Linked DNA regions of Nothobranchius furzeri. The protein of the gene in region 1 binds, or shares a complex with, the protein of each later gene. Links are inferred from orthologs where the notes say so. Each region holds a gene or a part of one and is shown in the gene's direction. Other genes may lie near its edges.

Evidence for each region.
Region 2: the proteins of dlat (region 1) and pdk3a are in contact, whole or in part, in a crystal structure (PDB 1Y8N), measured with the Homo sapiens proteins. The link is inferred for Nothobranchius furzeri from reciprocal best matches to the Homo sapiens genes DLAT and PDK3. Residues at the interface, in NP_001922.2 of Homo sapiens: Ala225, Leu226, Ser227, Pro228, Thr229, Glu248, Gly249, Lys259, Ala260, Ile262, Glu265; in NP_005382.1 of Homo sapiens: Arg21, Phe22, Ser23, Pro24, Ser25, Pro26, Leu27, Phe48, Lys51, Val55, Asn373, Lys374, Ser375, Arg378.

Annotation. Positions count from the first base shown.
Region 1 is NC_091750.1:45,047,101-45,054,406, forward strand, and holds the start of dlat (dihydrolipoyllysine-residue acetyltransferase component of pyruvate dehydrogenase complex, mitochondrial), read left to right. Parts: upstream 1-3,587; 5' UTR 3,588-3,735; coding exon 3,736-3,978; intron 3,979-5,440; coding exon 5,441-5,542; intron 5,543-5,617; coding exon 5,618-5,742; intron 5,743-5,833; coding exon 5,834-5,987; intron 5,988-7,306. Other genes in the region: dixdc1b (dixin), read left to right, coding at 70-141, 237-302, 403-555, 643-706, 794-890, 987-1,095, 1,224-1,303, 1,387-1,396.
Region 2 is NC_091747.1:54,906,224-54,911,659, reverse strand, and holds part of pdk3a (pyruvate dehydrogenase (acetyl-transferring) kinase isozyme 3, mitochondrial), read left to right. Parts: intron 1-1,042; coding exon 1,043-1,120; intron 1,121-1,194; coding exon 1,195-1,271; intron 1,272-1,374; coding exon 1,375-1,476; intron 1,477-1,556; coding exon 1,557-1,664; intron 1,665-1,772; coding exon 1,773-1,886; intron 1,887-3,566; coding exon 3,567-3,687; intron 3,688-5,315; coding exon 5,316-5,398; 3' UTR 5,399-5,436. UniProt on the Homo sapiens protein: Inhibits pyruvate dehydrogenase activity by phosphorylation of the E1 subunit PDHA1, and thereby regulates glucose metabolism and aerobic respiration. Can also phosphorylate PDHA2.

The DNA of each region.
Region 1 (7,306 bases):
AGAAACTATCAAGCTAAAATGCTGACTCCATTTTGTTACTGAGGATTATTTCTGGGTGTTTGCTGACAGACGGAGTTACAAAGAGAGCTGCAGCAGAAGCACAGCCTGCTGCAGGACCTCATGAGTAGAAATCTGCCAGAGGTAGGAGTTTGTGTGCCGGCTCTTTGTGTTTGTCACAAATCCACGTTTCTATCACACCTCTCCCTTCTTCCTCCGTGTTTCCTCCTTCTGGTCAGATCCCAAACAGCCCTGAAAACAATGGATATTCCTACTCTGGGAATCCAGCTCCTCCTGTGTCGGGTGTAAGTCGAGTTTGCTCAGAACTGTTTAGGTTTTATTTCTGCTTCATGAAACGTGACTTGTTTAAAAATTTACAGCTCAGATTCTGTTTTTGTGCCTCAGCAGCAGGCAGAGGAGGTTCAGCTGCTCCGAGATGCTCTGAGGAGTCTGAGGAACAACTTCAGTGATCAGGACCCCCAGCAGCACACGCTGGACACTCTGGAGCAGGGAATAGTGTCCCTCATGGACAGGCTGCGTGTCCTGCATACAAACAGGGTGGGGGATGCTTTACTCATCTGAGTCTGAACAAACTAACAGTAAAATGGGTCCTGACCTGCTGAATGATCACGCTCATGTGTGCAGGGAAGAGGGAAATCCCCACGACGCAAAGGTCAACACACAGATCTGGACTCCTGGCCTTCCACCAGTAAGAGACATGTCCCAGTTCCACATCAGACTATGCACTGGTTATTTGGGCCTTTTCTAAGGGAGATGTTTGTGTTCTCGGTTTCAGATAGTCGTCAGTCTCACAGTAACCCACCTCCTTCCACTAAAATCCTGTACTTTACTGGTAAATCTCCGACACCCTCCATGATCCATGTATCCAAGAGGTGAGTCTGGTCGTCTCAGACACACCAGCACCGCGTTCTTAACGTCAGAATTCAGATTTGTAAGATGTTAGAGGAGAGGGATTTTCCTCTGCTCAGGCTTGGTGAGGTGACGCTCAGAGATGTGAAGGCAGCTGTTGATCGAGAGGGAAACTACAGATATCATTTCAAAGCTCTAGACCCGGAGTTTGGCACGGTGAAAGAGGAGGTAAGGAACAGCTGGGGTTTTTCAGCCACAGCAGGGTTTCACTGGACTCTCAGTGGGATGAGTCTGGTTCTGTGCTGCAGCAGATCTAAACATTCACACTATGTGAAGTCATTGCTTTGTTTATCAAGGTGTTTCTGGATGGAGCAGTCGTTCCAGGCTGGGAGGGAAAAATCGTGGCCTGGCTGGAAGAGGATGGTGGCGAGGAGAGGTAACAGGATGTCACGTCTGAGGGTTTCCTTTAATTATGTTAGCTCTGGTTTAAAACAAGCTTGTTTTCTCTTTCTGTTTTAGGCCGCTGTAGGTGTACAGCCATGATGTGTCATCGATCAGCTGTTCATCACCCAGAGACAACCACCAGAGCTGTTCGCCCTGCTGATGCCTGAACTCAGGCCGTAACTGTAGCAGTAGTGTTGTGGTTCAGGCTGTTAGCTCCGGGAGGTGAGACAGAAAGTCTCTCTGTGTTTGGTGTCGTGCACCAGCGAGGCCTCGTAGACCCCAGATTCAGTCGTGTAGTCTGGTACAATGGTGCATCAGAATCAGCAGCATTAGCCACTTATTCATTAAAGATTAGGAACAGATGTTCTGATAGAGGTGTTAGTGCGAGGTTGAGTCTACACGAGTGCATGACCTGAATCCAGACACTTTTCTGTTTATAGTTTTAGTTTAATGTAGGCTGAAAAGAGCATCTGCTGTCAACAGAACTAAGGTCTAAATGTATTTTAGGCTCGTCTGTGTTTTGATGTCATTGTAAAAACAAAAGCATCACTTCTTTTGGATTAACTTCAGGGTTTGTTTTATGATTTTATCCACAATTTTATTATTTGAAGAAATGAAAATATTTGTTATTTGTTCAAATAGAGATTATTAGTTGAAACCTTCATTTGGTTTTTGTTGGGTGCAATTTTTAATGTTTTGAGGAGCCTTGTTTTGTAATCAGCTTATTTATGGTTTGTATTTGAGTCTTTATGCATGGGCGTGGCACCCTTGGGGGATGTGGGGGATTCAACACCCACTTTTCTTATTGAGATCGTTCAACACCCACACTTTTCCAGCCGTTTTGCCCACCTCCACACACCAGTCTGGTTTCTCTACTTCGCACTCACTCTGCCTCATCTCATTCTCCCCCTCCCTCTCCTGTTTCTCCTTGAAACCCGACATTGGCAGAAACCTTCTAACAATGGTAGTTTTTGCATCTTCACTGTTCCCCGCTTCAGGATATGAGCCGACATGAATGATCGCCTGTTAAATTTGTTTTTGAGGTGGTGACACTTTGAGAATTTTACTGTGGCCGTGCTCAGGACGCATCTGTCTGGAGCGCATCAACGATCAGAGCTCTGCACCTCTCAGGTCAAAATAATCCCTGGAGAGGCCACATGAATAATGTAATATAAGTAGAACCCGGATCGTTATTGGCTCCCCCTGAAGCTCCCTAGCTCACCCGTAATGCGAATCCTCTGTATAGCACAAGTTTGTCGCGTGAGTTGCCAGATCCTAGCAGACAGTTGCTGGAACGGTTGTTTCAAAATAAGATAGTTCCTGGATCTTGTTCCGGCAAGACCCGGCTCAAATTAAGCACTGATTGGTGAATATTTAGCATGTTTTTGGAAGGGCTTTGTTACTGTGAATTATGCGCGGACCCGTTACTGGATTGGGGTTGAGTTTCAATTTACAGCTGATGACATCCACAGACAACATCCCCCACACTTTTGAAAAGCTTGCAATGCGCCTGTCTTTGTGAGTTGAAATGTTTGAAAAAACATCAGATCTTTTCCTGTCTTTTTCCAGTTTAGGTCAACGTGAGCCAACACAAAGAGAGGAGATGTGATGAGAATGTTTTTAATGCCGCAACTGCCTGTACTGTAAATATAGAGTTTACGAGATGGTGTTTTTGCACTTATGTTGTTAAAAGATTTTTTCTTTAGCAAAACATGGATACTGTCTGATTAAAACATGTTGAAGAAATCGTTTTGAGGAATGTTAGATATTTTGAAATAAAACAGATTTTTTTTCATAGCAGTCTTATGTTTCTGGTTTCCATCGCTGTATTTTCATCAGTAGATATATTTTAGATTTGTCTGATTAAATGATATTGATATTGCTTATTTGGTCACAACTCAATATGTTTTCTAATGTGTTTAATAAATAAGATGTTTTACAGTCGTAGACCTTGCTTTGTTTTGGTTATAAAAACCAGGTCAGTTATTAAAATTAAAGTTTTAATGTAAAGAATTCTCAAAATGAACTGGAAGTAGTAGAGTTGCTGGGTTATGCTTGTTTTTACTGCCCCCGTGTGGCAATTGAGGATATTACACCGTTTGACCTTGTAGATCTAAAATATTTTAAAGTTTAAATAAACAAAATTTGTAATCTGCTTTAATATTTCACAACTAGCACTGTTTGTTTATAATCATGGCTTCGTGTGAAATGTATCTTGTTTCATTTGAAGTGTCTTTTTTTACGACACTTGATTTGAAGCAGCGACAGGAGTGCCGTAAAGCGTGTGTTTTTGACAGGAGGAGGTCATTAGAAAGTGAGGAGTAAAGTCGGAGCGCCGGGTTTTTACTGCCAGCTCGTCTCTAATGCCGCTGTGAGGCAGGTAAATTATTTATCAGACAGGTGTTCGATTCCACACGCAGCAGAATGCTTCGTTTAATGCTGCGGCTCCGGCCGTGTCCCGGTGTCTCCCGTTCCCGTGTCCTACCGGCTGGGCCTGCTGCCTTCGGCTCTCTCTCCGTGTCCGGAACCGGGTGTCTCAGGCGTCTTCACAGCGGACACCGAACAGTGGCCCTGGGCTTCAGCCACAGAACGACCTTTGTGCGGTGTCCCCGCCCGGCTGGCGGCGGCCAAAGCAAGCGTCTCTACAGTCTGCCGCCGCACCAGAAGGTAACGTTAACCGCTGTCCGGTTCTGGCACCGGGTCAGAGCCGGTACCGATAGATTTAAAACACCTGTACACCTAACAGCAGCACTTAGCTCCATAACGAGGCGGTGGCGGTGTAATGTGTCCATTAGTAGCTAAAGGATGAAACATCAGATGTTTCAAACTCTAAATAATTCTAAACATGTGCTGCAGCAGCAGACCTGCTGCTGTTTCCATCAGAACATCTCCACCAGCAGATAGATCCCGCTGGTGTTTATATCCAGGAAGGATGTCTGAAATCTGCTCTTTAGGGGCGGTGATGATGCTCACACTAATAATAGAAAAACAAGGACAAACTAAAGATTCTCAGCATTAAAACTCTGTGAATCAGATCCAGACGCTATATTCATAAATATTCATGAGATTTGACCATAAACTACTTTAAAATGGCCTGAAAGGAAAGAAACAACCAAAAGGAGAAGCTTAAAGAACAGGATGGGTGTTCGCCCAGATGAATAACAGTGATCAGGAGTTATCAATTTCCCTCTGGGATTAATAAAGTATTTTTGAATTTGAATTGAATTTGAAACACAGATCTCGTTTATTTATTTATTGTATTACTTACATTTCCTGGTGATTTTACTTTGAACATGTAGACAATGTTTTTACATTTTAGGTTTTAGCCGTTAAACTAAATAAATAACTATTTTCTTATAATTGAAGTAATGAGATTTTGGTTGAATTGGTTGAATGAATGACTGAAAAAACAAAACGTTTCTTTGTCTAAATGCAGGAATCATTTCTTTAACTACTACTTTAACTGTTCTTATTTGTTTTATTACATGTTTATTCTGTTCTTAACAAACACCTATGATGCATGCATTTATTGCAGAAAGATGCTCAGATTGTCGTCAGAATCTACTTTACATTTCACTGTTATTCAAAAAGAATAGATCAGATTTTTATGTTGACGTTTTCAAAAAGCTTCTGTTCACAACAGTTAGACGAGTTGTTTTAAAACAGCTTACTAACAAAAATGAGAACTTTATCAGGTAAAAATGAGATTCTGGTTCTGCTGATATAAGTTTGGGCCAATTTTGATTTATCTCAAGAAGCTGTAATTAGAAAAAGACTTCAACAATCTGCTGAAGCTGAAAACACGATCCATCCACGCTACACATACATTTAAAGGAGTGGGTCCTGGTTGATCCCTGATTTTGTGTTCCTGGATTGTTGCATACTTATTTGGGAACCCTCCGCTGGGAGCTGCTGCTTATCTCTGCTATTGGATGTCTCTTGACCCAGAGCAGTGACCATAAAGTCCACCCAGATGTGAGGAAATCAGGCCTGTGGGTCATTCATTAAGCTGGGATGGGGTGACACTGCAGCTGCGCTCACATCACCTGACATTCGGCTGGATTGGGATCCTCCTGTTATGAAGCGTATTTTTGTTTGTTTTTACCTGGATTTGTTTCCGGCTCATCAGGTGGAGCTTCCGGCGCTCTCGCCTACTATGCAGACCGGGACCATTGCTCGCTGGGAGAAGAAGGAAGGGGAAAAGATCAGTGAGGGCGACCTCATCGCTGAGGTTAGGAGCTCTGTGGATCATAGATAACTGAAATATCATCACGATTTGTTGAGTAAATAAAGTGTGTGTGTGTAGGTGGAGACTGATAAAGCCACTGTAGGGTTCGAGATGCTGGAGGAGTGCTATCTGGCTAAGATCCTGGTTCCTGAAGGCACCAGAGACGTCGTCGTTGGATCAGTCATCTGCATCACCGTCGACAGGTCGGTATCTTTATCATTTACATCGTTTAGATCTATGTGTGGTGAATTAAAGTTATAATATTAATAATAATTAATATGTTTTCATCTGCAGCCCAGATCTAATCACAGCCTTTAAAGATGTAACGTTGGACTCCATCAGATCTGCTGGTGCTACTCCTGCTGCTGCTACCTCTGGTGCTCCTCCTCCATCAGCTGCTGCTGCTCCTCCAGCAGCACCAGGCAGCTCCTACCCCCCCCACATGAAGGTAGGCTGGTTGTGATGGGAGCTCTGGTGGCATAAAAGAGCTGAGGGATTCTTACAGCAGCTTGAATTCCTCGAAAATGAAAGCAGAGACCCCCCCCCCCCCCCCCCCCCCCCACACACACACACGTTTATGACTGTGGATGGATTTGCTTCCATAAAAATAAAAGTTCCACCACATCGACTGGATAGCAGACAGTAACCTCTCTGATGAACCACTTGACTGATTTTAGTGAAACTGTCATCAGAGGGTCGTCTACAACTGATTTACTTTTGGAGTCAGTCCAGTTCAAGATGGCTGCCACTAGACCAAAATGGGTTTTTCCATTCCCGATACCGATGCTGATGTAGAGGTCATGGTTATTTTATGAGCTGCAGATTTTGGGGGCTGATATCTGGATGTTTTCCACCTTCTCAGCCTGCTTAAAGGTCACTGATACCAACAACTGATGCTAGGGCTGGACAATATAACTCGATAGACATGTGGTGCGATAGAAAGAAATGGGTCAATCAAAACGTCGATTTCTTTTTTTTCATGTAGCCTGAGCCTATCAGGTTGCTTAATACTAGACTCCCAACCAATCAACAACACCGATCCAGGCACGCTCTGTCACCAGGCCCTCCCCTCTCAAGCCCAGACAGACAGCATGTGGTTCTTGAGTCTCACTGAGAGAGAGTCGTAAGCAGCATCCTTCATATCAGAAGGCTCCAAAAGCAATACTGCTCACACACATCTTTGCTTAATGAGAAAATTTGTAGTTTTTTCCGGTATTCTCTGAAAATATCCATCAAATGTTGTTTAACACAATGCCCAGTTGTTGAAAAACATTTGCGGCTTCATAACATATCACCATAAAAATCTGGTCTAAAATACACGGTAGCGGGTCTAAGTCTCTGGGCGATGCCATATTAGATGCCTCGTTTACTTCTACGGCAGCCTGTGAGGACAAAACGTATTTATTGATTTGTAACAAACGGTTGCAAAACGTTCACCATTCATAAATGTTGTTTTACACATTTACTTTTTCACTCGTTACCAGTGATGAAAGGGGGTCTGATGTGCTTGTCATTCTGCTGGAAGTTATGCTCCTAGGCATGGATGTAGTTTTGGGCTGGGGACATGTCCCCCCACCTTTTCCAAAGTCACTTTTTGTCATCTGCACTTTTTACTGTCCAAAAACAATATAACGCTATAGGGAGCCTAAGTCTCCTCCCTTTCCGGTCGGCTCACGGGTCCCCGGAAGAACGAAAAAATGACTGCAAGTCAACGGGGCTAAAAACGCTATTTTCTAATCTGCCTTGCCTTACGCCCTGGATCACACA
Region 2 (5,436 bases), on another chromosome or scaffold:
TGACCAGTTTGTTGGTAAATTTCATTGGTGCTCCAGCGCTGGGGTTCAGACTGATTGGGTCTGAGCCAAGAGCACTGCAACCTGAAAATACTGGCATCCTAGTGGTGTGTTTTCCTCGGAGAAGCCTGTAGTTACCGACTCTTGAGTCCCTCTAATGACAGGAGTTTAAACGAGTCTGATCTGAGGTTTAGTGAAAACAACCCTGAACAAGTCTCGGACCAAATGTTAAGGTTGTTTTTAACTCTGTCATGCCAAAAACCTAGAAAGTCACAGCAACCTGAGGCCCTGTACACACAGAGGGGGTTATCCCACAAAACGATGATCTGTTTCTACGGTTCGGTCTGTGATCCACAGGAAAGTGATGATAAACGGCACCTAAAAGTATTCTTTCAAAACCTCCGACCAAAGTGGAGATTAGCGTAATCTCCGTTGTCGGGATTTGCTTGTTGACGTAAATAGCCAGCATCCTCACTGCCGACATCTCGTGCTACCTGTTTACGCTAGCTTGTTTTTAAAATCTCAGCTACTGATCTATGTAGACCACAGGTGAAGAGTTTGGGAACTGCTGCCACCTACAGGTTTGGCATGCTTCTGAATGAACTCCGGAATGCACTGGATGTTTTTCCGGAAATCAAGGTGGTGTGGACCCATTTTATTTTCTAGATGGGTGTGGGAGGATATTGGCTTTTATAAAATCCCGGCTACATGTGCACATGGCCCACGTGTAACCCAGCTAAGGAAATCATGACCAGTAAGGATAAACTGTGACGTCCCACTTTGTGAGTTGCTTTCATTCGTTGAATATATTCCTATCATAATTTTCCCTTCAAGCTTCTCTTTACACTCACTCATAAATGCAGACAGATCATAGTGTGTTGTTGCCTGAAGGGCCGGGGATCTAACCACCAACATGCTCTGCCCCCTTTCACACGTCTTTGTTCAGATGTCTGACTGCTTTTTGTTGAGTCTGATCAGAACTAAAACTGTTTAGTTTCGGCGTCTCCGACTTTGTTGAGTCATCCCGTTTTGGCTCTTCCATCAGATGCATATGACACTGCCAAGATGTTGTGTGAGAAGTACTACTTAGCTGCCCCCGAACTCAAGATTGAGGAGTTCAACAGTAAGAGTTCCTTTAATTTTCCACCCAAATTGCTGCATGTGTGTTTGGTGCTAAGTTGTCTCTCTTGCCTCCAGTGAAGGCTCCAAAAAAGCCCATCCAGGTGGTGTACGTGCCCTCCCATCTGTTCCACATGTTGTTTGAGCTCTTCAAGGTGAGCGGAGCTGCTTTTGCACCCACCGGTTCTCCGATTTTTAAATGTAATTAATTGGAATGTAAGAAGGAGATGAATGATTGAACTCTGTGGGTGTTTGCAGAACTCCATGAGGGCGACGGTGGAGCTTCATGAGAACAGCGCAGAGGGACTTCCACCTGTAAAGGCACGAGTCACTCTGGGGAAAGAGGATCTCTCAATTAAGGTAAACAAACAAGTGAAGCGTTATTTGAACCTTTTCGCCTCTGCTTGTCCTTTGTAACTTTCCAGATATTTCCTTTTAAGATCAGTGACCGAGGAGGAGGCGTTCCTCTGAGGAAGATCGACCGACTTTTTAACTACATGTACTCCACTGCCCCGACGCCGAGCCTGGAGCCAGGAGCTGTCCCGCTGGTTCGTGCTTTAACAAAAACAAATATCAGTGTTTACCCTGCTGATTAAAAAGAATAAAAACTCTTATCTCACACACTCGTGTGATAAAAATGTTCTTTTACTTTTCAGGCTGGATTTGGATACGGTTTACCCATTTCACGGCTCTATGCCCGATACTTCCAGGGGGATCTGAAACTCTACTCCATGGAGGGGGTGGGCACAGATGCAGTCATCTATCTGAAGGTGACATGACTCAGCATAATGTGAAAAGTGTTGACGTTTTGTTTGTCTCTGAAATACATTTTACTTAGCTTGGTTGAAGTTCAAAACAGTGTTTATGCATTTAAAAATGCGTTGTTTCCTGTTGAGGCTTGATTTTTCTTTCTGTTGAGTGCTATTGTAAGAAGGCGTGTAGCTTTGCTGTGGATAAAAATAGGAAGCAGGAAGAAGTACACCTCAGGCTTTGGTGTATGGTTACAAAACTGAGCAGCTGAAAAGTTCAGTTTGTTTTTATCTGAATACAGAATGACAGAGCAGGCTTTTAGAAACTCATCAACAGGTTAGAAGAACCAGGAACTTATTAAAGAGGGGCGTGTCATTTCATCAGAACTGGACTGGTTGCATTTTTGTCCATTCGTGTGCCCATAACATGGCTGAAGGAAGGTGTCAGAATAATGCTTACCTTCCTCAAACAGTACAGGGTCTTTTTATTTAAGGGCTGTGAGGCTGCATTGTGATTTGGTTTCTTTAGTGAATAAATAACAGTTTCTGCTTTTTGCAACAGTCAAACTGTTAAAGGATAGGACGAGCAACAACAGTGTCCAGTTTGACCTCCATTTTAAACATGGTAGGATGCACAGAAAACAAAGAAGGGGGGGGGGGGGAGGAGGAAAATTTGTGAAAAGCCCCAAAAATCAACGATCCCGGATGAGCCCCCAAGAATGAAATGGATTTTTCATCAAGAAGGCTGAAAGGACAAATATTTAGTCCAGGCTCATTGGAACATTTAAAGGCATTTCTGTGAAATTATAGAAACCAAAGATAAAGAGAATTTAGAACAAAGGAAGGAAGTCGCACAACTTTCGTGTGGTTTTCTAGTTTCTCCAAACACTGCTAATAATGAGAAATTATTGACAAAAGGATGCGGCACAAAGCTGGTGTCTGTAGAGGAGCCCAGAGGAGGAGGCCTTATGACCTTTTTGCCCTTTGACCTGCAGGATCATGAGCTGTATTTAACTATATAATATGTTGCTTATTTCAACCTACATGTGAAAACTTGCTGTTTGATCTTAGCTACTGCTAAGCTAATTAGCCCATCTTTTAATACATTAAAGCTAGGATAGGAGTTCAGGCAAGCTACTTTTTGAAAACAATTCAAAGATCAACCCCCCCCCCCTTTTTTTTTTTTCAGTTATCCCCTTCATGCCAGACCTCCAGAATACAGGAATGCGCAATGCTTGCTTCCAAGGATTCCACACAAAATAAGAGTGTTTTTCTCGCATTTGTCTAAAACACATTGCCAGTAATGCATCCGATTGTCAGTCTCGCAAATGTGCCGCCCATCCCTGGGTCCTCCATTCATTACACTCGAGGAGAAACGGCCAGCTGCTACCACGTTAACTTTAGGTCAAACTACCAGAGTCCCAAAAGGAAAAACACTATGTGAAGTCACAGTCAACAAAAGACGTTTGGACCTAGAAATGATGACTAGTGTTTAGCGCCATCTCGTTTCATACAGCATTGCGGGTTTTTGGTTTTGGCAGAAGCGTCTCAGGGAAAATACCCAAGTGTTTCATGACAATGTTTGCATTCAAAACCTAGCTTGTTTGCAGATTTGTTATAACAGCTTTCACGTTAGATGGTACCAACAACTCTAGACCAATACTTAGTCATGTCTTTGCTGTTGTGTTTCTCCATCTAAAGGCCCTCTCCAGTGAGTCCTTTGAGCGCCTGCCTGTATTCAACAAGTCAGCTTGGCGCCATTACAAGACCAGTCCGGAGGCGGACGACTGGAGCAACCCCAGCAAAGAGCCACGAGATGCCAGCAAGTCCATTTACAAAGCCAACAGATAATTCTGTCTGGCCCACTAGCGTAGCGCTCGGCGTGGAGCATGCACACCTAACCATTGCCTCTGAGTGTTTGTTTAGGATTAGACTCACTTTAACATCCCTATGGTGACTTAAATTGGCACCCAGTGGCAATAACCATCTTTAACGCAGCTTTCATTGTCCATTGAACCTCCTCTAGATTCTCCCAGTGATCTCCCATTTGTAAATGGCCGTGTTCTTTGGTGACAAATGTAGAAATCATGACCATCGAGCTGAACTCACTGCATCACTGCTATCTCTCCCTCTGTCTCGTGCAGTTTGGCCTGCCCCGGCTTTGCTGACCAAGCTTTTACTCCCTGTGGCTGAATAAGCTACACGCTGCTGATTGAGAGTGTTTCTCAACATCGGGAAATGCTTTCTCATTCTGAAAACACAGGGAGAGGTTAGTGTCAGTGAAAATGGGAAGAAGAAGAGGAGGAGGTTTCATTTCTTTTATTTTTATTTATTTTTTTCTTTTAAAGAAGGACGCTTGACTGGCCAGTGTGTCTTCAGCATGGCAAAGTCTTGGTTGCACTCCTTTATGGGTTTTTTTTTCAGTCAGAGAACATTTTTGAAATCTAGCACCTTTTGAGGAAGAAAAGGATAAAGTTCAAATTATTTTTAAAGCTTTAGAACTTAAAATAAATAAATAAAAGGAAGCCCGATATGAGGAACGGGTGATGTTTTTAAAACTACCTTCAAGGTTGCGCTAGAGCTGTTTTATAGGATACGTGATAAAAACGTACGAGTTTGTGTTTCTATTTGACCTGTTTAGCTTTCTTTTCTAAAGTTAACCAGCCACTCACTGTTGACAGAGGATGTCGATTCTCGTTGGACGTTTTTGCTCACGGTCCAGCCTTACAGGACCAAACGGGTGTGTGAAAACACCCCGGTTCATTCCAGCATTGTCTGCTGAGTGGCTGCAACAACACCAGCAAGACGTATTGTTCAACCCCTCGTAGAACAAACTGGACCTGCTGCTTCTGAGTAAAGGATGCAGCTCTACATGTCTTGAATTTGTGCTGCTGCCATGATAAGTGACACGCTTGCTGCTCGGACCCGTTAACTTAACCCTGCTTTGGACTTCACCGTGCCTGACTTGAATTGCTACGAATCTCTGGAGTCTTCTGAATGAGTTTGAACAAAGCTTGTACATTTTAAAAATCCACCTGTTTTATTATGATTTAGAAGGTGCAGCTAAAGTGAATTGGTAGCTGACAGATTGTTCAGTGGTTGATAGTTTAATTATAATTTGTCAACTGTATGCTTTATATATTTTCTTATTTATACAAGGAGAAGTCATGTGGCACACAAAGAGGAGCTGTTGGATAAGAATACGGTCAAAGAAGTCTAAAATGTTTCTGGGCACTGAAATGTAGGATAACAATTGTATATTTTCTCACTTGTTAAATGTTTTGAGGCACTTTACTAAGCTTATTTGAAACTATCAATAACCAAGTCAAATTCTAGGCTGACTGAATTATTTTTAAATGATTCAAAAGGGCGAGTTCAAGCCTGAACGCGTGTTTAAAGCAGACAGTGGGACGTTTCATCCACCTGAAGCGTTTCCCTTTTCTCCTCCAGCTTCTTCTGACGTGACAAGAAGGACTGAGTGTTGGAAAGCTTCCATGTCCTGTAGGTTCTCCATGTTTCAGGCCTGTCTGTAGAGTTTCATCACTGCCACTGCCTTTGAAAACCTGCCAGT